Linked DNA regions of Cricetulus griseus. The protein of the gene in region 2 interacts with the protein of the main gene of each other region in a pairwise test. Links are inferred from orthologs where the notes say so. Each region holds a gene or a part of one and is shown on either strand. Other genes may lie near its edges.

Region 1 (7,337 bases), about 160 Mb from region 2:
TGAGACCATGTAAAGGCATCCCACCTGGGACAGCAAAGAGGTATACTTCACCAAACCAAGCAGGCAAAAGGTACAGCAGTACCTCAACTGACAGTTAATTGAGGGTTTTTTCCTTCCAAATGTTTCTTTTTTTCTTAAGCTTTAGGGTACCAACCTAGCATTTATGAAAATACACAGCAACAGCTGCACCTAGCCAGCCTGTTTCTAAGCCACTGATTCACAAGTGACCTTGGGCAAACCACTTAAAAAGACTGACAATAGGAAGGAAACATTTGAAGTTCTTCTGAGAGGTAAATAAGATAACACAAGGCTTAGCATGAAACAGGGGTGCCGTTAAACTGGACTCTCTAAAGGGTTTGGGTCTGGTGTTCTATGCCTGCTGCACCCATAAAGATGGACCATCAGTGTCAAGAAGACCAGCCAAGGGCACTTCATATGCTCATTGTGACCAAAGTCTAACAGAGCCATAATCTCAGAACTCTGAAAGCCAAAGCAGGAACATTGAGTTTAATTAAGACAAGTTGAACAAGTAAGATCTTGTAAAAAACAGAACAAAAAAACAAAATCCACACCTGACTTAGAAGCATTTTCACCACCACCCCCCCCACACACACACAGGGTTTCTCTGTGTTGCTTTGGAGCCTGTCCTGGAAACTCACTCTGGAGACCAGGCTGGCCTCGAAATCAAGAGGTTCACCTGCCTCTGCTTCCGGGGGGCGGGAGGCGTGCACCACCATCCCCCAGCTTTCATCTAATTTTTTGACTAAGAGAAAAGGAAGCATGTGCACCAGGCCCACCTTCATCCTCATCCTCATCCTCATCCTCTTCATCTTCATCAACTTCTCCATCATGCCCAAACTCTTCATCCTAAACACAGAGAACAGCTTAACATCACTGGATTCTGCTAAGACACACAGCTCAATCAACCAGTAAAGATGAAACCCTGGCAATCTAAGACCACTCAGTGGAACCCACAGATAAAACAGGAGAATCAAAAAAAAGTGAACAACTCTCAAAAGTTGTCCTATGTCTCCATGCAGGTCACGTTATGGGTGTGAACTCTCTCTCTCTCTCTCACACACACACACAAAGAAAATCAGGGTTGATGGCTCACAACTGTTAATCTAGCAATTGGATATGGTGGATTAGGAATTCAAGTCTAGCCTGAGCTACATAACACCCCCCCCCACCAATCCCTCATAAAAAATTAAATGGAAAGAGGGATATACTTTAAAACAGTTATAATAACACATTAGGGTGAAACTGTTATTTTTAGGTCGTTGGCTGCACAGAGATGCTATTTTTTTTTTTTAAATGAGCAAAATTCTGGAGAGATGGCTCAGAAGTTAAGTCTTGTATGTTCATTCAGAAGACCTACATTTGGTTCCCAGCACCACCTGCTAGCTGTAACTCCAGTCCTAGGAATCCAATGCTCTCTCTGACTTCAGAGGGTACCAGGAATGTATGTAATATATAGACATATATGTAAACAACTCATATACACACATTCAGGCACAGCCTGTATTTTTAGTGGTTGTTATCCTAACCACTAAAAAGGGATGGGGTGGACAGGTGGTCAAACATTTAGTCTATCATAAGCTACGAAGTGAGACCTCGGTTCAGTAAGTAAAATAAAATTATCCTTAAAATAGCAATGTTCAGAAGTAAGCAGTTCACCAGGTAAGCTTTAATTAGCATGCAACTTAAAACAGAAACCTCAATAAATGTTTTTAACACTGCAGTACTGGTTTGGACAGATTTTTCTCTGTTTGTGGTGTAGGGCTATAACCCAGGACCCTGTACAAACAATTTTGAAGACACAGTCTTGTTTAGCCTAGGCAGGTCTTGAACTTGAGACCTTCTGCTTCTGCCTCCCAGGTTCTGGGATTGTAGGCATAAAATACTTTACAAAACTCAGCTATCTACTCTTTCAATGTAGAACTTTGGACCACAACTCTACATAATTTCTTTGGTAACTTGAAAGGTAATTCAGACATTAAGTGCTATTATGTATCTAGGCAGCATTGAGTAGGCATATCCCATATTAAGACAAAAGCTGCCATTATCAGCCTTTGCCTGTCTTCCTACCACACCTCTTTGTCTTTACACTAACAGAAGGGAAGAAAACAGTCACATTACCTCCCCACTGACTTCATCTTCATCATCTTCTCCTTCTACATCTTCGTCTTCATCTTCATCCTCTTCTTCATCATCCTCCTCTTCTTCACCATCCTCATCTTCTTCTTCATCTTCATCTTCTCCTTCTGAAATAATCCAAAAGAGAAATTACTAAATCTGGGCATACTTTTAACCCCAGTACTTCAGAGGCAGAGGCAGGTGAATCTCTGGGGCCACACAGAGAAACGCTGTCTCAAAAAACCAAAAGAAAGGAAGAAATTACTGAATAACCTTGATGACCCACAGGGTTTAACTGGAAAAGGTCAAAGTTGGCTTACAATAAGTTGGTAGGCTCTACAAACACTAGGAAAGACTTAGAGCTACCCCCCCTTCTTAATCCCAAAGGAGTATCCTAAAATCAAGAAGTTTCAAATAATAATCTATATTCTTTTGTTTTGAGACAGGGTTTCTTTGTGGCTTTGGAGGCTGTCCAGGAACTAGCTCTTGAGGACTAGGCTGGTCTCGAACTCAGAGATCCACCTGCCTCTGCCTCCTGAGTGCTGGGATTAAAGGTGTGTGCTACAACCGCCCGGCCCATATTCTTACTGAATGAAATCTGCCTCAATTTCTACAGGAAGAGGGCTTTCTACTCCGGCCATGCCTGAAAAATCCAGGAGTTTATGACCAGCCCCAGCTACCCAAGACAGTCTCAACACCTGCTCCTCCAAACAAAAATGACAAGCCACTCTAGGAACAAGTACCTGATAGCAGCTGTGAAGTCAGGAACTCTTTAAGGCTTAAACCCTGGCCACAGAATAGTCTGGGCTCCTGGATCCCCAGTGCTGTCCCCTTCAAAAGCCTCCAGTTCACTGTGGGCTCCTGCCTGCTGTCCTTCCAGTTCCACCTGCCTATCCCCAGACTGACTTTCAGTCCCTACTTCCTTCCTGCCTCCTTCTGTCTCTCTCAGGCACTTGGTGCCTCTTCATTTCAGCACCCTTTGCTTGAGCTCCAGACGATTACAGTCTTGTCTTTTTTAATTTTTCTTTTGCTGTCCTCAAGAAAGAACTAAGGGCCTTCCACAAGTCAAGCAAGCCTTCTACTATTGAGCAACATATCCTCACCCTTGGGCTGTTTTGCTATCACAAGTGGCTAACTAAGGTATATAGCTCAATGGCAGAATGTGGTATTTACAGTGAACTTACAGAACTACAAATAACTTAGGAATAACTGGATATGGACACTTTGAATAGGGTGAACTGACCTACTCGGCTCACTATCCTCTTGTATCCCATTAATTTTGCCTGTCTCCAGCTGCTGCAAACTAACCCCCCTGTATAACTGTAACTAAGGACTTATGTCTTTCCTCCTTTGCTTTCTTGTACGTTTTCAAAAGTGCTAAACCACCACTCCTGGCTTTCAATTTCAAAGACTATCCAGATTCACTCAAAAAATATAAAGACACTTAAGCACATGAAAAACTTTTAATACTTTCATGAATAAAAAAGCAGAACCTAGTTGGGCAGTGGTAGCACACGCCTTTAATCTCAGCACTCAGGAGGCAGAGGCAGACAGATCTCTGTGAGTTCCAGACCAGCCTCATAGCCTCCAAAGCCACACAGAAACCCTGTCTTGAACACCCCCCCCCCCAAGCAGAACCTAAGATAATGTGCCTTGAAGTTTGTGGGCCAGGCACTGAACTAGGAAGGACAGTAAGCAGAGCCAAGGAAGGGATGACAGAACAAGCTCTTCAAGCATACAAAGGACTTGCATGAAGCAGCCACTGAACACTTGGCTCCACAGAAAAATAAAAAAAAAAAACCCTGGGGCTAATAAAGCCATTTGATTTTCAAGGATTTTAGGGTTAAAAGCCCGAAGAGTTTATAGAACGAAACAGGAACACAGGCGCACACACACTGAGCAGAATCACTGCCAGGGCTCTAGAAAGACAGAAGTCAGGTCACAAGATACCCAGTTTACTCACCTTCATCCTCTTCCTCCTTGTCCACACCATCCACCTCGGCATCGGAGTCGGGGGCTTCCTCTACACCATCCACCTCCACATCCGAGTCAGGTGCTTCCTGGTCCTCCCGGTCATAGCCATCCAGATAGGACAACTGGGGCAGGAGCTTAAAGACACTCTCCCGATAATCATTCAAATTAGTGACCTCACAGCCAAACAGATCCAAACTTTTAAGACAATCCAGCTTTTTCTAAAAGAAAGAACCAAAAAACACAATTCCTAAATCAAAAGAACAAGTTACCAAACCACTTTCAAGAGGTAAAAGTCTAAGCTCCATATTAGTTGCTACCCATTCATCCCTGTACACAGGAACACACTATGCTTCTGGCTCCCCTAGAAAACAATGTCTTTTCCCGGTAGCAACAGGAGTCTAAGTGTGATCTAGCTGAAATGTACCCAGGGCCCACCCATGAGCAGCACTGGAGGATGGAGTGAAACCTGGCACGAGGTATGCCAGCCTGGGCAGAAGGGTACCCAAGAGCTTAAATTTCACCAACAGAGAAACCTCACACTCCTTTTGTCTCTTTTAAGATCTTTGGAAGAGGTTAACATTACCAGACTTCTCTAAAGTAAACTTAAGGCATTGTCAAATACAGTATGCTACCTTCTAAAATAGTACAAATAGCCTACTACAGTACAGGTGACTTTCTTACATGTGTGTACACAGACAGATACACATTCAACTTTTATTAATTCTAAAAATTAAAAGTTTGGTCCTCTTACAAAACTAAACAACAACAACAACAAAATCAATATGGGGACAAGGAAGTAGCTCATTTGATAGTTTGCCCAGAGCCATGGATTTGATCCCCAGTACCACGTAAACCAAGTGTGGTAGGGCAGGCCTGTGATCTCAGCACACAGGAGGCTAAACGATCATAAAGTCAAAGTCATTGTCAGCTACATGAGACCCCCCCTACACACACTCAAAAGGCTCTGGATGAAGCAAGTTTTAACAAATCTAACAATGACACTTCACACAACATAGAAGAAACTTGGATCCAAAGAACTTTGTTTCAGGACTGAAGGCATCTCTGTAATTCTCTGCTTTCAAGGTTGGTTTTAAAAGGGGCTAATCTGGCTCAATAACTAATTTTGTAAACTAAAGCTTTGTTTCTAAGACAGGGTCTCTCTATATGGCCCCGACTGGCCCCAAACCAAGTCTGCACCTGTCTCCCAAGTGCTAGGAGCAAAGGCAGGCGCCACAATGCCCAGCTAAAACCAAGTTTTACTGGCACACAACACTCATCTGCTCATCTATCACACACCTCCTCTCAGACTATACTGACAGTTGAGGAGCTATGATACAGACTACTGCCAACCAAGCTTCATGTTTGCATTATCTGACCCTCAAGGAAAGGGCTGTTGACCCTTACAGAAGACTCTTCATCCCCTCACCAGGAAAAGGCTTACATAAGCTTTATTGCCAAGAGTAGTCTCTGGAACACAGAACCAGGGAAAACCCAGCAACAGGGTTATAGACAGATGTCATACCCACAATCGAACACACAATGTACAATGCTTTAAGAGTGCTTACGAAAGCCAGCTCTCAGATGTCTCGGGAAGGCAGGCTCAGCCCTGCCAGTTCTAGGGGTGGCTGATTTTCTAGCAGGCGACTTTCAGATTAGGTTTCCTACTGGGCAGGCCATGACCTTAGAAACCCAGGTATGATTTCTTGCCAAAGAGGAAAAAATGCTGTAACAGCATCCCAAATAACCAGCACAGGTTGTTTACTAGCTTTCTTTTTGGAGACAGAGCCTTTTTATATTGCCCAGGTTGTCCTAAAACTCCCGACCCCCCTCCCCCGTCAATCTCAATCTTAAGATCTAAGAGTTCTATACCATACCTGGCTATAGTAAGAGCCGACTCTATTCCAAGTAAGACATAAAAGGAAAATCAATTTACACAGCTTCCTACAAAAGTTTACTCTAATGTGCTCCTCCCTTTTCTGAAGTGTATGTCTCACCACGAAGCCTTTGTCTCAGTCCTCTTGCTTTGGCCCCTCGGGTAGCTGGGACGACGTTATACATCACGATCCCTGGATTGCCTAAAATTATTTACCCAGTGGAGTGGGCCACTGGTGAAACTACTTTACAGGGCCACCGAGGAAATCCTGTTTCTGAACAGCATTGATCTTAGATGTTTGACAAAGCACCCATTATCAAATAATTTGGACATGCCAAACAGTATAGTAGGAAATCAAATATAAGCAAGTTAACAGTAACAAACCCAACAGAAGTACAGCACTCTGCAGATTGTTTAAAGCAGTAAAATTGTACTTACAGCCCAGCAGGCTCAAAATACAGATTATACAGGATCTCAATGTGATATGTAAAACCCTGCTGAAAACTTAACAACTGTACCACGTCAGAAACTTGACCTAAGCTAATAGGCTAGCCATAATAAACATTAAACATTTTTATTAACAATAATATTGCTTGCCTTCTTAGAATTTAGAAGGGCTTTGGGGGATGATTTGGATGGCCCAGGTCTCTTAAAAAACGTGTCCCAGGAAGTTTGAACTGATGCCTTCTTTGTCTCTCGTTAATGTCCCTGTAGCAAGCAGAGGCATTCACAATCATTGCATTGCCTGTCAAAACTGGGCTCAACGCAGTGTTCACAATGTGTGGTGATGAGGATGAGGATGGTGTTTTCCCCACTCTAGAACATTCACAAGTCAAAAATGGATCTAGAGTCTCCCCCACTAAACCTTTCCTACAGATTTCCTTTATTCTAGGTGAGAAACATGAGGCCAACCTAGCTCATGCTTTTCCAAGCAGCTTTGGGAGTACCGAGCCATGGTAGCTCTGCCAGTTATGTCGGAGCATCATCTAAGCCTTAGTTCCCTCAATGTAAAATAAGGGCCATACTATTTCTATTCACTTTGTAGAGACGTTTTTTAACAACTACCATAGGCTCTACAGGGCACCATTATAGCACACCCACTACAGTAGTACAAGCATAACAACAAAGATTACACACTTCTCTTTCACTGTCTTGGGACCCTACTCTCTTACAGCCCAGAACAGGAACACTCAAGCAAACAATCCATGCACAGTATTTGTCTGTGCTCTGCCTCAGTGCTAATAACATTGACACAGGATTCCCAGAGGATTCAGCCTCCAAGACAACCAGCTGGTTATCAGCAAGGAAAGATACTCTCCGTTTAAAACACACACCCCCACACCCACCCCTATAT
Region 2 (7,353 bases):
GAGCACATGTAATGAATAAAAAACTAATTTAAATTTATTTGTAAAAGCAAAACATCTAGCCTTTTTAGTCTAGATATGTAATAGCTTAAATATCAAAATACATATTTTGTTGCTTTAAAATGTTTTATTCATTAACCAGTTAATAGCAATCATAATCAGTTTGATACCCATATACCTCATCATAATATTGAAATGATAGAAGAATTCTCTGGTATTTTTATTAATTACATTTTGATTTTAAACTAAATTTCTACATTTTGCTAAGGAAGCTTGATATTAAAGAAAATAATTAACTATTAACTCATTTTTTTCTTACAGGTTTCACCTTGCTTAAATGTCTTATCACGATTGTTGTTTAGCAGTGATCCAGATGTGTTAGCAGATGTGTGCTGGGCCCTTTCTTATCTCTCTGATGGACCTAATGATAAAATTCAAGTAGTCATTGATTCTGGAGTCTGTCGAAGATTGGTGGAACTATTGATGTAACTATAATTTTCACTTAGTTATGTTATTGTATACTAAGTTTAACAGTTAAGATCATGTCCTTAAATATTTCAAAATGTCAACATCTATAGGAAGAATTGAAAAGTTACTAACTCTGCCCTTTATAGAGTAGCTATAATCCTTAAATACTGGTCCATCAATAAACATTTCTGAAGTACAAGGGAATTATTTTGTAAATTAATCTCTGTATGAATGAAACTTTTCTTTATGAAGAAGCCTTAACTTAACAAACATATGTAGAATGTCTGTTAGCACCAAAGGTGACATGTGAATGTTATTAGGGAGAGAAAACAGTTATTGTTTTTACAGAACCAATAGCCTAGTTTATTATTCTTTACAATAATTAACTTGTATATAAAGCTAGAAAATTTATTTAGTGTCTCCATGATCTTTCTCTTACTGGATAATCATTACTACCATTGTTGAAAAATCCCAGTTTTTCCATGCAAAGAAATTAAAAGAAAATTTTGTTTAAAAAGGTGCTGTAGTTTCTTTATCCTCCAACCTTCTTTAAAATTGTTTTTGTTTTGTCAAAAAGCCATTGGTAGTAAACCAGGCATGGTAGTTTATGCCTTTAGTTCCAGCACTTGAGGCAGGGGCAGGTGGATCTCTGAGATTCAGGCACAGCAAGTTCCAGACCAGCCAGAGCTACATAGTGAGACCCTGACTCTGAGAACAAAATAAAAACAAAAGGCCTTTAGTTAGTCCAAGTGTGGCAGATGGCACAAAAAATAGAGTTGTGTTAAAGGGCTGATTTCCAGTGTGAGCTAGACAGATGCAGTGGGATGGTCAAGGCCTTAGCTTGAGAATGACTTCTACCAGAGTGGGCAGCCAAGCAGGCCAGAACAAGGTTCAGAGCCAAAACTCATGGCCTGGTAGCCTCTCTTGTTAAATTATCGATATGTAGGAGGATGTGAACTAAAGTAACTGGCTTCTAGTCGTGAAGGGAAAAGGCCTTTGATGTTAGATTAGAATTAAATCTCTCACTATAAACTCACTGCTTTCAAAATAAGGACCTTTTTACGTACACTTGTATACATGTGCATTAAGGCTTTTGGAAGAGGGACACCTCTCTAGAAATAAGGTGAGCGCTCTGAGGGCACAACCCTTGGTTTCTAAATATCACTGCTCATTTAAGGGAAGTAGCTTTCTTAGAGAAATTATTGGATTAGAATGAGGAAAAATGAGATGAACACAGAAAATAATGAGCTTGGAAATAAATTACAGTAATGTATTATTATAAATTAGTGAATAGCAACAACCCAAGAGTCCACATTAAAATATGTGGATGGATCAATAGATAGGCAAGGCGTATGATGGAGATGATAGTTTTGCAAAATGATTATTAAAAATACAAATAATTACTAATTCAGATAATGAGCATATAGATACTAACACTAGTGTACGGGATGGGTTCATTCCTGAAAATATACATGTAAGTAACATTATGTGGACTGAAAAGTTATATTTAGGAATATATATGTGTGTAGATATACATTCAGTAACAAGAGACCATGTTGTGGAAAAAGAGACCATGAATTTGAAGAACAGAGGAAGGGGGTATGTGGGAGGACTTGGAGGGAAAAAAGGTAAGGGAGGAGTGTTGTAATTATGATTTCTAAAATAAAGTAAATAGGCTAAAGAATGGGATTTTTACATGGTCTCAAATAGTCATCAAATACTGAGTATAAAGGAGAAATTGGAATAGTGAAGAATAACATATCAATCTTAATTAGTACAGAGTTTAGTACCACAATAATGAGACAGAGTATATACAATATGTCACCCAATAAGATATAATGAGGTTATATAGTGTTTGATACTGCTTTAGATTTTTTTGCTTTTTCAAATATTAGTAAGTGAAAATTGAGTAGGAGCTCTGAGTGAAGAAAATGAAAGTTGTCTATAATTTTTTCAACTTTATATAGATTTTACCTTATTGATGTAAAAGCTCATATTTTTATTTTTAGGCACAATGACTATAAAGTTGTATCACCTGCATTAAGAGCAGTTGGTAATATTGTGACTGGTGACGATATTCAAACACAGGTGAGTTCAGAATTTACAGCACACTGTTAGATGATTGTTTCATGTCACTTGATTTTATATTCATCAAGGCCTTATTACTATAACTATACAGGCATCTGTGGCAGTAAGCACAGTTTTCAACTTCAGTTACCTTATTGGGATGGTACTATCATAGAGCCCCATCAGCCAAAATATACCAAGTGTTCTGCTCAGAGGTTTCAGAACCTTTTTAATTTGGTCTTCTCTTGTACAATACACCCTGACTGCAGCTTCCCCTCCCTCCACTCCCCCAGGGACATCAGCTGGACATGGCATGACAAGTGCAATAAGGCCAGGTAACCCTCACATCAAGGCTAGGTTAGGCAACCCAGTAGTAGGAAAAGGGTTTGAGGAACAGGCAAAAAAGTCAGAAACACCCCCACTCCCACTGTCAGGTGTCCCTTTAAAACACCAAGCCAGCAACCAATGCACAGGACCTAGCACAGACTCATGCAGGCTCTGTGATTGCTACTTCAGTCTCTGTAGGTTACCATGAACCCTGCTTAGTTGACCCCCATGCCTTTTGGACTGTGTTCTCGTGGTGTGCTCAGTCTCTCTGGCTCCCATAATTCCTCCTACCCTTTTTCAGTAGGGCAAGCTCCATAGGGAGGGACCTGATGGAGACCTCCAACCTGGGCTCTCTGTCTGCCTAATGTTTGGATTCAGAATCTTAGCTAGGTAGAAGTCATTGAAATAAAGCAAAGTGCCCAGCTAACTCAATCAGTAGAGCTTGAGACCCAAAACAAGGCAGACTAACAAGGCAATGCATGTGCTACGAGCTGATCATCCAGTAAGTGCTTTAAAAGTTTATAAAAAAAAAAAAGATGAGTATGATGAGGTCTGTAATTTCTGTAGATAAGTGGAATTATAAATAAGTAGAGTAGTACTTCAGCAGATGAGACAAGATTTACCGTTATAAGGAGAAAGGCAGATAAATTGAGGTATATTTAAGAACTTAGCTAGAAGTTGTGATTTATTATATGTAGGTTATAGGACATAAGAATCAGATTATGAGACCAAAGGGAAGATAGCAAGGAAATGGTTCCAGAATTGGTGATAAACTGTGCACCCATGCCTGTTTTGGGAGAATGGTAAGATGTTAAGATTGACTCCAGATGTTGACTAGTGTTCTATTTTGATACTCACCAAAGTTGTTAAATGAGTAAGCATTTAAGGGTAGCTCTCTATATTGGAATACACTGCACTTACCAGCTAAATTTTCAAGGCACTGATGCTGCATCCCTTTCACCCTCACTAAATCGAAAATTGTGGATGATTGTGAATAAAGGACAAAGTAGACAATACTTATGCCAGTTGGTTTTGTCAGAGACAGCATCTCAGTAGGAGCTCTGACTGGCTTTGAACTCATAGAAACCTACTTGTCTCTGCTTTTTAAATACTGGGATTAAAGGCATGTGCCACGCAATACTTCATTATAAAAACCACATTCTAAAAACAGTACAGATTTATTCTTTACTTCAAAATTTTTATAATGCTGTAGAAATGTGTATGAGAAAGAATATCATTTAGTAATTTGTTATGAAAATGAGGTTAAACCCTCTCTTCCATCACAAAGTCATTCTTCAAGTAATTTTCTAAGTTGAATTTTGCAGATATTTCTATGGGTATGACCAGAAATCATAACTTTTTCAAAGTCTTGAGTTTCAAGACTCCCCTACTTGATTCAAAACATAATCTGTGCTGATAGTGCTATAGTTGTATTACTTTAATTTGTATATTTGAAGAACATGTCTCTGATTCACACTCTAGTGGAGAACTGCATTAGCACTACATAAGCTTTCTAGCAGCAGGGTGTACAAGTTAGCAGTTGCCTAAATTTCACCTCCAGAGGAATTTATTTCTTTGTTTTTCAGATTGATTTCTGTACTTCAGTAATTCATAAGAAGTTTGCATTTATACTAAAACCCTTTTTTTCTGTTTTACCCATTTAGGTCATTTTGAATTGTTCTGCATTGCCCTGCCTCTTGCACTTGTTGGGTAGTCCAAAGGAGTCAATTAGAAAGGAAGCCTGCTGGACCATTTCTAACATCACTGCGGGAAACAGAGCTCAGATCCAGGTAATCGCCTTTCAGAGTTGAGATTACAATAGGAAGGTCTAAGCTGAGATGCCTGGCGTTCAACATGGCCTTTTCTTCTCTAAATAATACCATTTGTGTTTTGTATTCTAGTGAGGAACAATAATTACATATATAAAAGTATCTGATACATGAAATTAGTCTTGAGAAATAGATGGTTTCTGCTGAGCACAGTGGCTCATACTGGTACTTAAAAGGCTGAAGCAGAAGATTGTGATTTTGAGGCCAAATGGGCTATACAGGGACACCTTGTCTGAGGGGAAAAAAGATTTTTAAAAAAGGTGTAGCATAAGATTTAAACTAGACTGAGTCAGGATGATGATTTTTGAGGCCCAAATGAACTGCATGGGGAGACCCTGTCTGGGCAGGGTTCCATCAGTTTTAAATGTTGGGAATTGTCTTTCAGATGGCTTTCAGTGTTTATTAGGTTCTGTCAAGTTTCTTGAGCCAAAGAATACTTACCCATTTGGTTAATCACATGCCTACAGTTAATCACCTTTGATGTGTATTTTTACTGATGCATTCTCCAATCTTTAAAAAAAAAAAGCTCATTTCTTTTTACAAAAGAAATCAATTAAAGTGTTGACAGATGACAAACAGAATCTTTCTAAACCCTCTCACATTTTAAGATTTTTAAAATTGTGTGTATGCTTGTGTGCCTGTGTGAGTTATGGAAAGCACAAAGTGTACAGGTCTTGTGGCAGCCAGGGTATCTGATCCCCTGGAACTGGAGGTACAGGTCATTGTGAGCACCTAATGTGGTTGCTACCAACCCAACCCAGGTCCTCTGCAGAGAGCAACAAGTGCTTGTAACTGCCGAGCCATCCTCCAGCACACTCACTCTTTAAAGCCTTACTCTTGAAGTGCCCATGTGGCAGTTCTGAAACAGTATTTGCACTAATTGTGTTGGATCATTTTTTCTTCTTAGGCTGTCATAGATGCAAGTATTTTCCCTGTTTTGATCGAGGTTCTCCAGAAAGCAGAATTTCGTACCAGAAAAGAAGCAGCGTGGGCTATAACTAATGCCACATCGGGAGGCACTCCAGAGCAAATAAGGTGGATTCCGATTCTTTAACATTGTCTTTTAAATACCAGTCAGACAGTATGAAAAAAACATTTTTATTTATTGGTGAAACTAACATTTTTATGTCTGTTTGATATACAGAGATTAGAATTTCAAATAGGAAGAATTTGTTGATTAGCAGAATATACTGTCATGAGCATTAGATATGTTTTAAGCATTAAAATTAATTAGCTATTATATAGAAGTAACAGATATGAATATCAACTTGTTTAAAGTAAAATAAAAGTATGCATTTGTTCATTGTGCTCTCTCCTTATTGACTGTTGCCTTGCCAGCAGATAGGGTAATACTTCTGTGCACTACTTGTCTTTTTCCTTCTGTACTAGGTTTTCTAATCTATGCCTTTTATTATGTATAATACTGACCGCATTCATAGTTGATACATGATTTTAAGTAAGCCTGGCCAAGTCCTGGTCAAGTCCTGCTCCTTCAGTAAAACTTGTGACAGGATCAATTTTGACAGAGTCATTTAACCTTTCTAGTCCAGTTTCTTCTTGCTAATGAATTGAGTAACCATATCAAAAGTGAAATGTATGCACTTCACATGCACAGCACAGTGCTTAATGAGCATTAGGTTCTCAAGTAGAATAAAGTACTGGTGTCTTTTGGAATTGTCATTTTCAAGTATTGATTTCAGTCTTTTTGTATCGTATATCTTCAGTCTACAGCAAAGACACACATTGTACCTCAAATAAGCTTGACTTCTCTACATAATCTCATTCTTATGCCCTTCACAAAACTTGAAGTCACTATTTAAGAAACAGTTTCTAATGAATATATAACTCTTAAAAACGTATAAAATTAGTCAAATTATGATGCTATTTTAATGAACCAAAGGATTTTTAAGTCTACCAAATGTTAGATCATTATCTTGTTTGTTTCTTATATTTTTAGAGACAAATTCATACCATTGTCTGCCTTTTTTAGTGCCATACACCTTTCTTATAAAATAGTACAATATTTGACAATATATGTATACATACATGTATATGTGTGTAAGTGTGTGTGTGTGTGTGTGTGTGTGTGTGTGTGTGTGTGTGTATTGAGACATGATCTCACTGTGTTGCTATGGCTTATCTGGAATTTACTATATAGACCAGGCTGGCCTTGAACTCAGAGACATTTATTGGCTTTTGCCTCCTGATTGTTGGGAATAAAGGTGTGTACTAGTATGCCCTTTGGGGGAAAATATTTTAAAATAAGTCATCTGTAACTCTATTATGCTAACAGGTATTTTCATTATCCACCTTTTCTTTTTGTAACTTATTCTCATTATTTCCCTGGCCAGGCTTCCAAGTGCTGGAGCTATAATGTGCCACTGCACCTCGATAGACCATTGTCTTTCATTACCTTCATAGATACTGTCACCTTTGTATTTGTGTATAGAGATATCACCTGTGTCTGCTGCTTTTCTGTTCTCCCTTATTATTTTAATTAGTATTTCCTTTATATTGTGTCATAAATATAAGCAGTAGTAGAAGTCTTTGTTATGTCTTTTTTTATTACTACTGTTCTTTTTATCTGTGTCAATCTGAAAGTAATCACATATACAGGAAGAAAATGTCTTAATCTCAGATTAGATTCAGCATGCATACCTCAACA

What was found. The genes of interacting proteins can lie anywhere in the genome.
Region 1: the proteins of Kpna5 (region 2) and Anp32b interact in binary tests that used the Homo sapiens proteins (3 or more experiments, as listed by UniProt). The two-hybrid records come from large-scale screens. The link is inferred for Cricetulus griseus from reciprocal best matches to the Homo sapiens genes KPNA5 and ANP32B.

Annotation. Positions count from the first base shown.
Region 1 is NC_048595.1:96,951,117-96,958,453, forward strand, and holds part of Anp32b (acidic leucine-rich nuclear phosphoprotein 32 family member B), read right to left. Parts: intron 4,329-7,337; coding exon 4,100-4,328; intron 2,265-4,099; coding exon 2,140-2,264; intron 868-2,139; coding exon 798-867; intron 1-797. UniProt on the Homo sapiens protein: Multifunctional protein that is involved in the regulation of many processes including cell proliferation, apoptosis, cell cycle progression or transcription.
Region 2 is NC_048595.1:257,197,226-257,204,578, reverse strand, and holds part of Kpna5 (importin subunit alpha-6), read left to right. Parts: intron 1-318; coding exon 319-482; intron 483-2,474; coding exon 2,475-2,553; intron 2,554-4,523; coding exon 4,524-4,649; intron 4,650-5,595; coding exon 5,596-5,723; intron 5,724-7,353. UniProt on the Homo sapiens protein: Functions in nuclear protein import as an adapter protein for nuclear receptor KPNB1. Binds specifically and directly to substrates containing either a simple or bipartite NLS motif.